2 linked regions of the Kluyveromyces lactis genome follow. The protein of the gene in region 2 interacts with the protein of the main gene of each other region in a biochemical or structural test. Links are inferred from orthologs where the notes say so. Each region holds a gene or a part of one and is shown on either strand. Other genes may lie near its edges.

What was found.
Region 1: of the proteins of HSL1 (region 2) and HSL7, one has a biochemical effect on the other in vitro, tested with the Saccharomyces cerevisiae proteins (2 studies listed by BioGRID, with this or other methods). The link is inferred for Kluyveromyces lactis from reciprocal best matches to the Saccharomyces cerevisiae genes HSL1 and HSL7.

What each region holds. Positions count from the first base shown.
Region 1 is NC_006039.1:1,373,511-1,380,420, reverse strand, and holds HSL7 (protein arginine N-methyltransferase), read right to left. Parts: upstream 4,514-6,910; coding exon 2,177-4,513; downstream 1-2,176. Other genes in the region: KLLA0_C15851g (uncharacterized protein), read left to right, coding at 1-2,097; cyclin-dependent protein kinase regulatory subunit CKS1, read left to right, coding at 4,871-5,269; protein kinase MEC1, read left to right, coding at 5,678-6,910.
Region 2 is NC_006042.1:1,251,907-1,259,021, forward strand, and holds HSL1 (protein kinase HSL1), read right to left. Parts: upstream 4,804-7,115; coding exon 1,000-4,803; downstream 1-999. Other genes in the region: alcohol dehydrogenase ADH3, read left to right, coding at 1-383; metalloaminopeptidase APE1, read left to right, coding at 5,776-7,115.

The sequences.
Region 1 (6,910 bases), on a different chromosome or scaffold from region 2:
AAATTACTGGAAGATATCGACTCCAGTGAGATGGAATTTCAATCTGCAGTTGAAAGTCTAAATGTTAATGATAAACGTCTAACTGGTGTTCCTGTAATAACGTATTGTATTGCGTATGACAGACTACCGTTCTTAGAGACGTTACTAAGTAACAGGGAAAGTTATAAGAAGGGATTGGATTTAAACCTTACTGATGATTTAAACCATTGGACGCCCATCATGTGGTGTTGTTATTTGAATCGATATGCGTGTTTAACGGAATTGATGAGATTTTCTGATAAGTTAGACATGTTCTATACAACCAGCACTGGACAATCGGTGCAATCATTATTGGTACCGGGAACCGCTATTTATTCATTCATGGATATACATCAGGTGTTCAATGGTAAACCAAAAGATTTGCCTGATTTGTATAAAGCACCACCAGAAATGAATACTGCAATTGATCCGACCATTGATGAGTTGAATTTACGGACTGTGGATATGAGATTGCATGATGACATAGATGATAATACTGCATATTTCGAACCTGAAAGTCGTTCGGCTATACTTGATGTTAAACCTGATATTCCTCCAGATTCCGAGTTTAATTACAAGCATCTTGAACCTAGGCAATACATCTCTTTTACTAGTTTGGATATCGAAAGTTTATCTTCATTGGTTGCAAAACTTCCAAACAAATACCCTCATAAACCCAACATTGCGGCCGCAGTTACTTTCCAATGCATCAGATACGCTCATCACAAAAGGCATAATAGAACCATGATTGAATCTATCCATAACTCATGTCTTCAAAAGTTATTAGCGGCAGATCCGAACCAGGACATCCTAAAGCAATCTTATACGTTGGGATATCTCAACCTATTGTATTATTACATGTATCGTGACGAAATGGTCTTCCCTGCATACCCCCATTTATTACAGGATATTATAGACTCCATTCTACTGTTAATAAAAAATCTATCGGCATCCATCAATTCAAGACTAGAACCATTATTACATCCTGGAATCCTTGAATATACAACGATCTCTGATGTTAAGGAAACGTTGTACAAAAATGACTGGAACTTTTTCAAGAAGCGGAAGCTCAAGCGTATGAAACATGATTCATATGACGACATTCTTCAGCTTTTGTATCCTCCCTCAGTAAAGGAACAAATGAAACCTTCTCCTCTTAAAATCGTTCAGATTTTTGGTGCCTTGACATATGTTTTCGACTTGCATGACATTCATCCAGTTCTTTTGCAACAGTGCTTGTCTATATCATCTAAGTGGTTGGCTAATACAATTTTCAACGAGATTATACAATCTAAGCAACTCTCTTCAAGAGCACACGCGATGCAAATAAGATTGAATCTCTCGATCTTACAAGATTGGGTGAAAAACCATAACTTTTCTGTCCAGAAGCCCGATCTAATGGATGACTTCATGTGGCAAAGGTTCCCACTGACTATAGTTCAAGATGTTGGATCCATTGATCTGAAGAAGCCTTCTCAACCTCTTGAAAACGTTTATTTCTATAAACCGATCAAAAAGGAACCTTGTACGGACGAATCAAACTCATTATTCTTTTACCAATCTTTTGCACATATCTGGCAATTTCATTTGGAACCAGTTTATCAACTATTACAATGGTTACAAGTTGCCACTTCCTTGGATCCGAATGAAGATGTTCTGAATGGTACTATTGATAGGTTAAGCCGATTAAACGTTACACAGTTGTATAAATCGTTGGATCGTTACAGATATGAACTCAATGAAGGAAAAACCAGCATGAAGAAACTTTTGAAGCAAAAGGTGAAAGCTATCAAAGATCAACAACCCGTTTTACTTGACATCGAATTTTCTGTTAAGCTAACTCTACCTACCCTTCAAGAGCTATACTTTTTATATGATGAATGCGAGTCCAGTTATAGATTTTTGCCGATTTTACCAATTGCGATACAAGATGAAATAGACGAAATTCATGACCAGATCAAAATTGATAATCAGTTTGAGGTGTCATCTAATGCCTTTGAAGACATGGACGAACCAAAACCCGCTGCACATGCAGTTTGGACCTCTAATGAAATGAAACTTACAGAAAATCCTTGGTGAACATTAAGTAAATAATTTATTGATATGCGGATTTAAACTAAATGGTTAAAGTTTGCTTCGATTTTTATAAATGCCTTGTTTATAGAGGAATCGAATATATGCATCCATTGGGATTATGCAATTTGGAAATATTAGTCCTAACTCTGACATGATATTCTTCTGTTAGTGATTTTTTCCGTTGTTCTTGATCTTTAGTTAGATTAGATGAATCATGTCTATTTTGTATCTCATGCAGGTCTTTTACACTATCCCATTCATTTGTTCTACCTGACATGAAATTGGTATGATTGATTGAGTCTTCAAAATACTTGTCTTCTATTTCTGAGGAGTCATTCTGAGGACCGAATCGTGCGAAGGCTTTAGTCAGGTTCTGAGTATCTATATCAGCATTTTCTTTCGATCCAGTTCTGGGTACTCTTTCTCCTTCGGATTTTGGTATTTCCGAACTTGACACAAGGTATACAAATGATGATACAGACCATTCGTACCAAACTCTGCTATTTAAGTCATTTCTAGTAATGAATACTTCAAGTTCAGTGTCATCATTTAAGAACAAGGGTTCCTTCAAGGGGAAAAACATTGGTGACCATGATTTCATATTTTCCGTATGATTCACTTTAGTGGCAGTTGATCCGTTATGGCTTCTGGAGTTATCTATGTTAGAATTTTCCTGATCTTCTAAAGTTTTAATGACAGAGTCATTTGGAACTATGCTCAAGGTTATATCTCCGTATAATGTTGCAATAAAGTATCCAGCAATACCATGAATTTCACTTTTATGCTTTACTCGAAAGTGGGATATTGAACTTTTGTTAAATTGATGCTGTTGTTGATGCAAATGTGAGAATGACCATATTTCATTTACTCTGGATGATGTACGGCAATATGGAACATTGTGAATTATTGAAGGTTTTTCGAGATATTCTGGTCCTTTTTCAATGAGGCTTTGGTATAAAATTGGAGATGATATAGGAGACGCATAGGAACTATATCCTTGAGGAATAAACCTTGTGTTAGGTTTTGAATGGAAAGCTTCTATTGGAGCAATACATTCGGGAGATAACTCGTTACAGCCGAAAGACCCCAAAAGTTCACTGATGCAGAGATCGACTTTAATATTTTCATCCCATTCTCGGATGTCAGTACGGATAACTTCAACTTTGTTGTCCCAGTGTTCAAAGTTGCGTTTCTGTAAATAGAGAAGTGCTTGTGGGTTTTTTTCGATAGCCAATAGCCTGAAGTTGGTTACTCCAAGTTTATGTAACACTTGGAATGTCTTATCCACCAATGGACCCCTGCCTGCACCTGCAACTAATGTGATAAGTTCTGTAGGGCCTCTCCAACTGGACGAATTTTCTGTCAAAATTTCAGATACAGCGACCATGATAGCCCTCTCGTATAATTCGTACTTGACAGTATCCTTTTCGAAAACTTGGTAAACTGCATTCGAAAGATTATCATGATGGGGTAGTAGCGGAGGCATGATTGTAGGTGCACTGTGGACAACATCTTGGGTCTCCATTAGTATGAGCTTATCTCCCTTTTTCAATAAATAATTGAGGTATTCTAGGTACTGTGTAGGTTCAATTTTGAGTTTATCCGTGTATTTCTCCATACCATGTAAAACGATAGCTAGTTCGCCAAATGTTGATGCGTTACCGTTAACACGTTGGAACTCAGTGATTAAATGCTGATTAAATTTATTCAATACAGGGTAATTGTATTGATTTGTTGTGAATATGGATGCAGAGATCAAAAGACATGTGACAGGTTCGCTCAGCCATCTGTTTAGCACAAAACTGGGAGTCTTCTGTCTAGGTAGAGCTAGAGATACAGTCAATTTAGGCTCGTATCCGCACATTTTCCTGATCGTGTTCCACAGTTCCCAAGTCGAAAGTGGATCTGAATCTTCAAACAAAGGTAACGAAATAGATATTGTCGGACACGCTTCTTTAAAAGTATCAAATACTGTACACAAAGATTGTGCGTAGTAATGAAGCGTGTGTAACTTTTTAGGAGGAGCTAAGATAACCTGTCTGATTCCAACGAAATTTGCATAATGCAATTCGTGCTCCAACACTTGCAAAGATAAAGTCCGGACATCAGCATCATGGCTCTCGAGCTCTAAAAAGTAAGAGACCAATCCAATATATGAAACATTTCCATTAGATGGCAATACCCCCAGCTCTTGCAATTGAGGAGGATCTAACTTTAGTTCTTCATTCCATCCATGACCGTGATCTCGAAAATCTTCAAACTTGGCCTTCATGGCATCCTTGTATCTGGTATTTGTCAAGGGCAGCAGCACATAGTCATAATTCTCTACTCTTTTATCTGTAGAAGAAGTTCCAAGAACATCAGCGGAATGTTCACTGTGAGGTTTGATCCCGACGAAAACATTACTTCGACTTGCCATTTCAGCACATACAAACACACAAACGCAGCACGCAGAACAGTTTCACAACAACAGTCAAACGTTTATTGGTAAACCCTTCTTCAGCTATACCGTAATTATGGTAGACACTACACCAGTGATAGCTCTGTGTCCTATTCTTTTACCTCATCTCTGACCATCAATAGTGACGGATCTGGTTTCTGTCCTAAACAATATTTATTTTCATTTTTTTTTTGTAAACAATACTATTTTAATACCTAAGATCTTTTCAGTTATGCTAAAGACATGATATGTGATGAGCGAATAAGATCCAGCATCAGTAGTCTAGGGTTAATTAACACTCCAATTGTATAGCTTAAGTTGTGATCGAATCTAACAATGTATTCGACGCACGCTTTCCAAGGCAGAAAGCTTTCTGATCAGGAAAGAACGAGAGTTCTCGAATTTCAAGATAGCATTCATTATTCACCAAGATACTCCGACGATACACACGAATACAGACATGTAATGCTTCCCAAGGCCATGCTAAAAGTGATACCTTCTGATTATTTCAACGGAGACACTGGTACTTTGCGAATCTTAACAGAAGACGAATGGAGAGGGTTAGGAATTACACAATCTCTGGGATGGGAACATTACGAATGCCATGCGCCTGAACCACATATTTTACTATTTAAGAGACCACTGAATTACGAGGCTGAAATACGTGCGGCGCATGCTGCCGCACAGCAGCAGCAAAAATCAATTGCTGCAGGCCAACAAAGTCAAAATATATGAACTACCCACTAAAGACTTTAAAATGAAATAATAAGAAAATCGTATTCCAGTTTTACGCGTTACACTGTTAATAAGAGAGAATAATGTTTCCCCAAAGATCTGCAATTCCTGGCTGCACACTTTGTGTAAGTTAGTCTTCTGTTGTCAAACTTGCAAATGGCTTAAGACGCCTGAATTGTACTTCTGGAGAAGTGTTTAGCATATGTACATACCACATTTATGTATGTGTTGAGATTCCTTATTGATACCAAAATTTGTATATAAGTCAAATTATAAATAATGAAACTAACCAAAAACAAACGCTGGACTATGAAAGAAACACAGTTTTCTCTCGTTAGGGCGTCCTAGGTGAGTGTGATTGAGAGTGCAGTTGCCGTGTAAGAGTAATATCTTCTCAGCGTATAGGAAATGGATAATCCTAGGGTAAAATATCTGGAAGAACTGATACTGGCGTTAAAATCAGCAGGAACTGTAGGAAATGGTATAGAGTTAGATAGCACTTTGCAATTAGATGAAAAGAATGGGAAATTACTACAGACATTGTTGAAGAATACGCAATCTACGAATACGGATGAGGTGATCTTTCACAAATCCTTTCAAGCACTTGATTTATTTCTGCGATGCAACCAACACCTTTTCTCAGCCAATGTTAAAGAGATTACTATGATCGAGGTTATTTTAAACAATATGGTTAGTTGTTCGCTAATGCATTGGTCCAATATGCAATATATTTGGCTTATAAACAAATACGTGAGTGCATGGTTAAAAGCGTACTCTTTTGCATCGACCTCCAATTTACAGATTTGGTTCACTGAACAAATGGTTCAGTATGAAAAGTTACTAGTAACATGTCTGAGAGGTAAGCTAGAGAAGCCGACGTTTCATTCCCTCTTGAAAAAAATAGTGATAGTGAACGGTTGGATTATGAGGGATGGACTACTTCGAAATTACAGCTATAGAAGATGGCAAAGTCAGTTTCAGAAATTGATGCGATTGCTAGCCTTTGTTTTGAAATCAACTAACGAACCAAGTGTCGAAGTTGCGAGCATCTTGCAATTACTTGTTCGTTACATCTCTTTATCTAAAGAGTCATTGTCAATATTCAGATTCTCGTTTGACCTCATACAAACTTTAATTAAAGATCATCATCAGCATATCTCTCCGACCATTTTAGCCAAGACTTTGTTACGGACTTTGTACCTTTGTATCCATGACGAATCAAAGTTGGCAGAGATCAAGAATACATTCGAATTACATGAATGGATCAACACGAATAAGAATGCTGATCCCCTGTTTATTAGATCGATAAAATACGTTTCAGTGAAACTAGGGTTCCTGGAATCGATGGAAGAGTTTACATTCTCTAATAAGCAATTGCATTGGCTTCATCAAGCCATAGAAAATCCGAAGCTACGTCTAGTCTCTGGGAATGTTCGAAATTGTATAGCTGATAGTGCTGATATAAGATCTTTCTACGATAAGGTGAAAGAATCATTACTAAACACGATAAAGGATGGTGACACCGCAAAATTGACACATTCGATGCATTCCATCAGACAATTGGCTATAAAAGAAAAGTTTGTCAATAACAATCTTGTAAGATCTCCACAGGTGGAATTCAATGCCTCTCAAAATATGAGG
Region 2 (7,115 bases):
TCAGAAAGTCTAAGGACATGGTCGCCGATATCCAAGAAGCTACCAACGGTGGTCCTCACGGTGTCATTAACGTCTCCGTCTCCGAGGCTGCTATCTCCATGTCTACCGAATACGTTAGACCAACCGGTGTTGTTGTCTTGGTCGGTTTGCCAGCTGACGCTTACGTCAAGTCCGAAGTCTTCTCCCACGTCGTTAAGTCCATCTCCATCAAGGGTTCTTACGTCGGTAACAGAGCTGACACCAGAGAAGCCACCGACTTCTTCACCAGAGGTTTGGTCAAGTCTCCAATCAAGATCATCGGTCTATCTGAATTGCCAGAAGCTTATGAACTAATGGAACAAGGTAAGATCTTGGGTAGATTCGTCGTTGACACTTACAAATAATCGGATTAATTAAAGAATGTGTCCCTCATTAGATTTCTTTTCTTTATTTAACTCCCATTATTACAAAAAAAATTAGTGCAAGGGAAGAGTCTCTCACCTCTTAACTTAAAATGAAAAAGAACAAACGTATTCGCCATAATCATATCATCCTCAGCCTCCTATTTTAACAAACTCACACAACGATTCGCTCTGGCTTTATGAACCTTGCCAGGCGTGTGTTTTTAAGAAGAAGTTTAACCGTTAGATAAGAAAGGATGAAAATTTGACGATACGTTCTTATTCCATGCCACCCCCCCCCCCCACTGTTACGTATGTTTATTGTTAGAGCTTATGACCTATCGATGACTATTGTTATTATCTTATACAGATGAAAAATCTCTTTTATTTGAATTGATTTCAAACAACGTATTTTTTATATATCATAGTAGTCATTGACCCCCCTCTCTTTCTTATCAATGAAGTAAATAATATTCAATCAATATTCCAATTTTTAAACTAACTTTAATACCAGACTTATCTTTGAATTGACTGGTATTGTCACTACTAGCATTAATTTATGTGTATTTTTTAAGATATATATATATTATTCTATTGTTACAAAGTTTTACAGATATTTTTATTCTTCTTGTGCACTAATTGCACCGGCAACGTCTTTATTGAACCGTTCAAATGATGCCATAGTATCCTTATCGTTAACGAACCTCTTACTGCGAGTCTCCAGACTTAGCACTGTCTCCGTACCATTCATGCATCTCATCTCAACGGTAAATTTACTCTTGGGTCGATTTCTCTTAATACCACCGAAATTGCAATCGTACGTCACGTACTCTTTATCTCCCTTACGTTCCATCTTTTTTAACTCACAATCTACACCATTCTTACCGAATTGCGTCATGAGTAAGATGTGAATGTTATCAAACGGTATACTTGAGGTCCGGTATTCATATACTGTCCGCTTTGGTTTCGAGGTTTTAATCCGTTGTAATAGTTTACTGAACCAATTAACGGGGGAGGAAGACTTCATACTGGTAATTGGTTTCACTTCATCCTCTTTGATCTTTGGTAATTTGTTTATGTAGTTGGATTTCCTTTTGCTGCCAACGTTATTTGTCGTCGTACTGTTGGCATTTAGCGTCGGTTGTCTTCTTTCTGCGGCAACGGGTTTGAAGACCTGTTCGGATTCAGAACTTCCGTCATCAAATAGTAAAGTCACCCTTCTAGTCTGACCTTGACCATGGTTTCCATCATCGTTCTTTTGTTCTTCTGTTGATAGGTCCAGGTTATCGCCATTGATAGAAGATACAAGAACAGTGGAATTTCTTTTAACGGTAGTGCCGTTTGTGTCTTCATTGGTTTCATTTTCGACTGGACGTGTATCTAATGCACTTCCTAGGAGTCCCAGTCCATTATCGTCATATTCAGCACGGCTTTCATCACCGTCGAGATCTTTGAACATCGAGATCATAGAACCGGTGATGGTTAAATCTCTGTCACCATTCGAAAATCGCTTTTGTTTGATATCTTTGATGGGACTCAATTTGAACTTAGATATAATTTGTTCTGTCGTTTCCCTTGGTAAATTATCCAGCTTATCCATTTGATTGATGTATAAACTGACTCTTACATCCGTTGCTGGTGTCAGGACATGACTTGTATCGATTGAATCGATAGAAGCAGCTTTTTTCTTCAAGTTAAGCTGTGACTGATCGATCATTGACTCAGAAGTAGTAACAGATTCATTAGCATCGTCTGGAGCGTCTTCGAAAATATCGATGTCACCGGCTGTTGTGACCGCTGGTGCAGTATTGACGTTATAATCGTCATAATTGGAACTGGTCTCAAACCGGTTCGAATCATTTTCAATCATCAAAGTTTGATTTTCCGAGAGTTTTTCATGATCAGTATTAACAGGATTAGATGCCTGAGTAACTGGTACTTTATCCTCATCGATATTCATGATAAACTGAGAGAGATCTTTGAATGTCATTGACGAATTGATCAACGACGATGGCATGCGTAAGAGATCAGGCTTAATGTCAGTCATAGGTGTACTGGTAGTTAACACGGTTTCCGGTGCTGTCAACTTACTTGGATTAGTCTTCTGCCTTTGCAATTGATTTTCACCTTCCGAAGAACCTTTCCCACCAAACAAAGCCTGCGCCTCTCCGCTTACAGTCCAATCCCCACTATCTCTTAGCTTTCTAATGGTAGATCTTGACTTGATTCTCTGTGGAACACTGACCTTCCTTAGAAGGTTCTCAAGTGATGGCTTAGGTTTGTTACGTTTGGGGTCCAAAGATGAGACATACATGGACTTGGATTGGAATGTATTGGTCATATCCTTCAACGGAGTCATAGAAACAGGAACAGTCGCTATTGTGTTATCAGCCGTCTTCCGTTTCATTGATGTCACACTTTGTCTATTTTCTGTCTGTGGCTGATTGTTCAGTTTTGGTTGTGCCAGTATATTCTTCGATGGCTGCGTAAGTTTTTCATTCTGTTGAGCTTTCATGTGCTGACCAGATTCACCGAGGAAATTATCCATCGTTGCACCATGCACAGACGTACTTCTATCATAATCGTCCACAATAGATTCAAGTTTGGATGAAGTGTGCTCCGAGGATGAAATAGAAGGTAAAGGCGGAGGTGGATATTCATGTTGCAACTCGTCATGAAGCAATTCGTTCAAGTTTATTGAACGTTTAGAAATAGATTGCAAAGAGTACAACGATCTCTTTGAAGCTGAGTTTTGTAACGTTCTTTTCTTTGGAGTGGTAGGAGTCAATGACTTCTTAGAGCTGGATTTTGATATCGATTGTGAGGAAGATTTTGCGCCAAAGTTTGGTTGGAAAAGTTTTGAGGAGGAGGAAGAAGCAATGAATCCCTGTTTTGTCTTCTTTGGAGATTTTGAACTTCCATTTTTCAAGGAACTTATCGAGAAATGTGATTTCTGGTGGATCTTTGGAGCCTGTAGGGTACTAGATTCAGAACTATCAGATGATATTTGTTGTCCAAAGGCCGATATTGTTGGAGCCATCGATGCTGGCAGTACAGTTCCGTTACTTGATTGTTGTTGTTTTTTCGCTGTATTTGTTACACTATTCACATCAGATGAAATATTCAATGGACTGACCGAGGAAGCGGACGATGTTTTCAACGTAGGAACAGGTATTAAATCCTTTTGCATCGATTTCTGTTGTTTCTCCTGATAATTCCATAGTAAAGAATAAAACATTTTCTCTTCAGTGAATCCTGGTTTCATAAGTCTTGTCACCAAATGTTTCCTTGCAGCACCGTGCCATAGGATCTGTAGGTTGGATAAGATTGTCTCATCGATGTCCCTTTCCGACGAAAAGCTCACAATATTTGGAGTACGATTCAACAGATTCAAATCCGAATTAGACTTACTGCGAGATTTCTGATCATATTTCGTCAGCAACTCATGCTGTAAGATTTGGTCAATAGTAATTCTTCTATTTGGATCTACCACCAGGATTCTAGAAATTAAATCTTTAGCCTCTACCGATAACCATTGGGGCATCTGATATTTTCCTGACTGTACTTTCAACAACAATTTCTTGACGTTATCGTCGTTAAAGGGTAAATGTCCAGTCAACAGGGCGAACAAGATGATACCACAGGACCAAACATCACTTGGGGATCCATGATATTTCCGACCCAGAACGATTTCAGGAGAAGCATAATGTGGTGAGCCACACGAGGTCTCCAGCAGTTTATCCGAAGTCTCTAGGGCAGCCATCCCAAAGTCTGCAATCTTGATAGATCTCTTTTTCTTATCCAAAAGCAAATTCTCTGGTTTCAAATCACGATGACAAATATTGAACCCATGGCAGTATGCTACAGCTTGTACTATCTGTTTGAAATAATGGATAGCCTCACTTTCCGGCAACTTCCCCTTCGAGACCAAATAGTCGAACAATTCACCACCTTCAACATATTCCAATACCAAATATAACTCAGATTTGTTTTCCCATACCTCGTAGAGACCCATCACATTGGGGTGCGAGATAAGCTTCATAATGATAATCTCACGTTCGATCCCATATGGCAGCTGTTTGATCTGGTTCGACTTAACGAATTTTTTGGGAACTATCTTAATCGCTGACAGTTTCCCCGTTTCCATATTCTTTGCTAGACGAACTCGACCCGATGACCCTTTCCCCAAAGTCTTACCCAATTTCCAGGGACCTACCGTATCGCGGTTTCTCCTCTTCGAAGTCTTGGTATTATTAACATTAGCATTCGACGATGCAGTCGAAATCTGTGAAAGACGCTTAGTAGCGTCTGTTACTGACTGAACAACCCTATTCAAATGTTCATTATTTGCACGATATGGGACCTGGCCGTGACTAGAATTATCCTTCATTGCCACAACGGCAGCTTGAACAGCACACGACATCTAGCACAAACAAAGCAAGCGAGTGAAATTGAGAAAGCAAAAGAGCAGAAGAGAGCGTGTGTGAGTGTTTAAGTATGATAAGCGAATGTAATGATTGGAAAATAAACACACTCTGTGATCAAATCAATGATTCTTCTTCTTCTTATTATTATTAGTATTCTTCTTCTTCCTTATAATTCAAATGGTAGACCTAGCCTTGTAATTTGCAGTTCCAGCAGAGCGACAAATCAGCGTTACTGATGATGTTAACGTTGCTTGGTGTCTTCTCTCTTGGATGTTGTTTGGTTTCAAATTCTGATTCAAACATTGTTATGTGTGCATATATTTCATGAAAGGGCTTTATTTGGTAAATAGTTGAAGTCATTCTGCACGACTAGTAAATACTAGCAAGACGCGAGTTTGAGCTTTGTTCGCGAAGACGAAGACGCGAAAACGCGAAAATTGGCAGAAGCAGTAAAGTCGAGAACATGGCAAGTTCAACTTGCTGTGATAGATTTGAACCAGGGCTTTCGGCGCTGGTTCAATAATTGTGTTGGTTGCTGCCAGTGTGCTGGCACGGGCACGGGCATCAGCACTTTTGGTTTATCTGAATGAAATATAGGCACAACCACGTGACCTTTGAATTTACACGGCCGAAAACAACTAGATATTGTCACGTGACCTTTATCAATTCTGTTGCCTATACGAACTATGACTTAAACTTATCCATGATATCTTATAGCAACCATCTCGCACCACTCTCCCCTGAGAATAGTAACTAATTGATCTTCAACAACGCTTAATAACGTTACTATCCCTCGATATTCACACTCCGCTCCCAATTCAAGTCATATTTCGCTCGCTGTACAGGACTCTGAATTACTTTTAACGTCTATCGATCACAGTTTCTTCTTCTCCCCTATATTAAAGATAAAGACACTGATAACATAACAGCGCTCAAAGAGACAAACACCATCCGAAAAGTGCAACCCAATGACAGAACACATCGAAATAAGCAAAGAAACTATCAACGCTCTAAGCGACGTCTTGAAACAACTAGCCGTCATTGAACCTAGGTCAAGAGACGTTAACAACCAAAATGACAAGGTTACCAAGAAGTCGACTAGTAAGCAAAGCCAATTCTCGAACAAAGCGACGTTCAGAGAGTACTCGCAAGAGTACATAGATTTCACATATGAAAACCCTACCATTTACCACGTCGTCAAGTATTTTGCCAAGAAATTGGAAGAGAATGGCTTCGGTTATCTCAGTGAAAAGAGTTCTTGGTCCAACGTTGAACCGGGCCATTACTATACGACCAGAAATGGTACAAACCTCTGTGCCTTTGCGGTGGGACCCGAATGGAAACCTGAGTTAGGTGTTGGTATCATTGGTGCCCATATTGACGCCTTAACTGCGAAGTTGAAACCTTCTTCTAAGAAACCTGATGTGGAAGGATTCGAATTGTTAGGTGTAGCTCCATACGGTGGTACTTTAAATGAACTGTGGTTAGACAGAGACCTTGGGATCGGTGGTCGTGTCCTAATTAAGGACCCTGATACTGGTAAGATCAGTTCGCATTTGTGCAACTCGGCTCCACACCCTATCGCTAGGATTCCATCTTTGGCACCACATTTCGGTGCACCAAGTGTTGGTCCATTCGATAAGGAGGACCAAACTGTGCCCGTGATTGGCTACGTCGGTAATGGAGACTACGATGATGATGATGAGGACCACGACGTCGAGGATGAAAAGAAGAGCCCGTTGTACGGCAAACATAGTATCCATTTATTGAGATACATTGCCAAGTTACTATCCGTTAAAGTGTCTGCCATTACGCAATTTGACTTGGACTTATTCGATGTGCAAAAGGGTACTTTCGGCGGTCTTAAAGACGAATTCATCTTTGTTCCTCGTATTGACGACAGAATCTGCTCGTTCAGTGCCATCAATGGGTTGATAGAGCACAAGAAGACTGGCCATAAAAAGGATGGATTTAACGTCGCAGTGCTTTATGACGACGAAGAAGTTGGATCGTTGACAAGACAAGGTGCTAAAGGTGGATTGTTAGAATCAGTGGTCGAAAGAATCGTTGCTAGCAGGGGAAACGACGTCTCTGAGACGCGTACGGCATTCGCCAACTCTATCATCATCTCTGCAGACGTCACACACATGTTAAACCCAAACTTCAACTCAGTATATTTAGAGAACCATAAACCAAAGCCAAACGTTGGGATCACCCTTGCATTGGATTCCAACGCTCATATGGCTACAGACGTTGTTGGGACCGCATTGGTGGAAGAATTGGGTAGATTGAACGGGGACAAGATCCA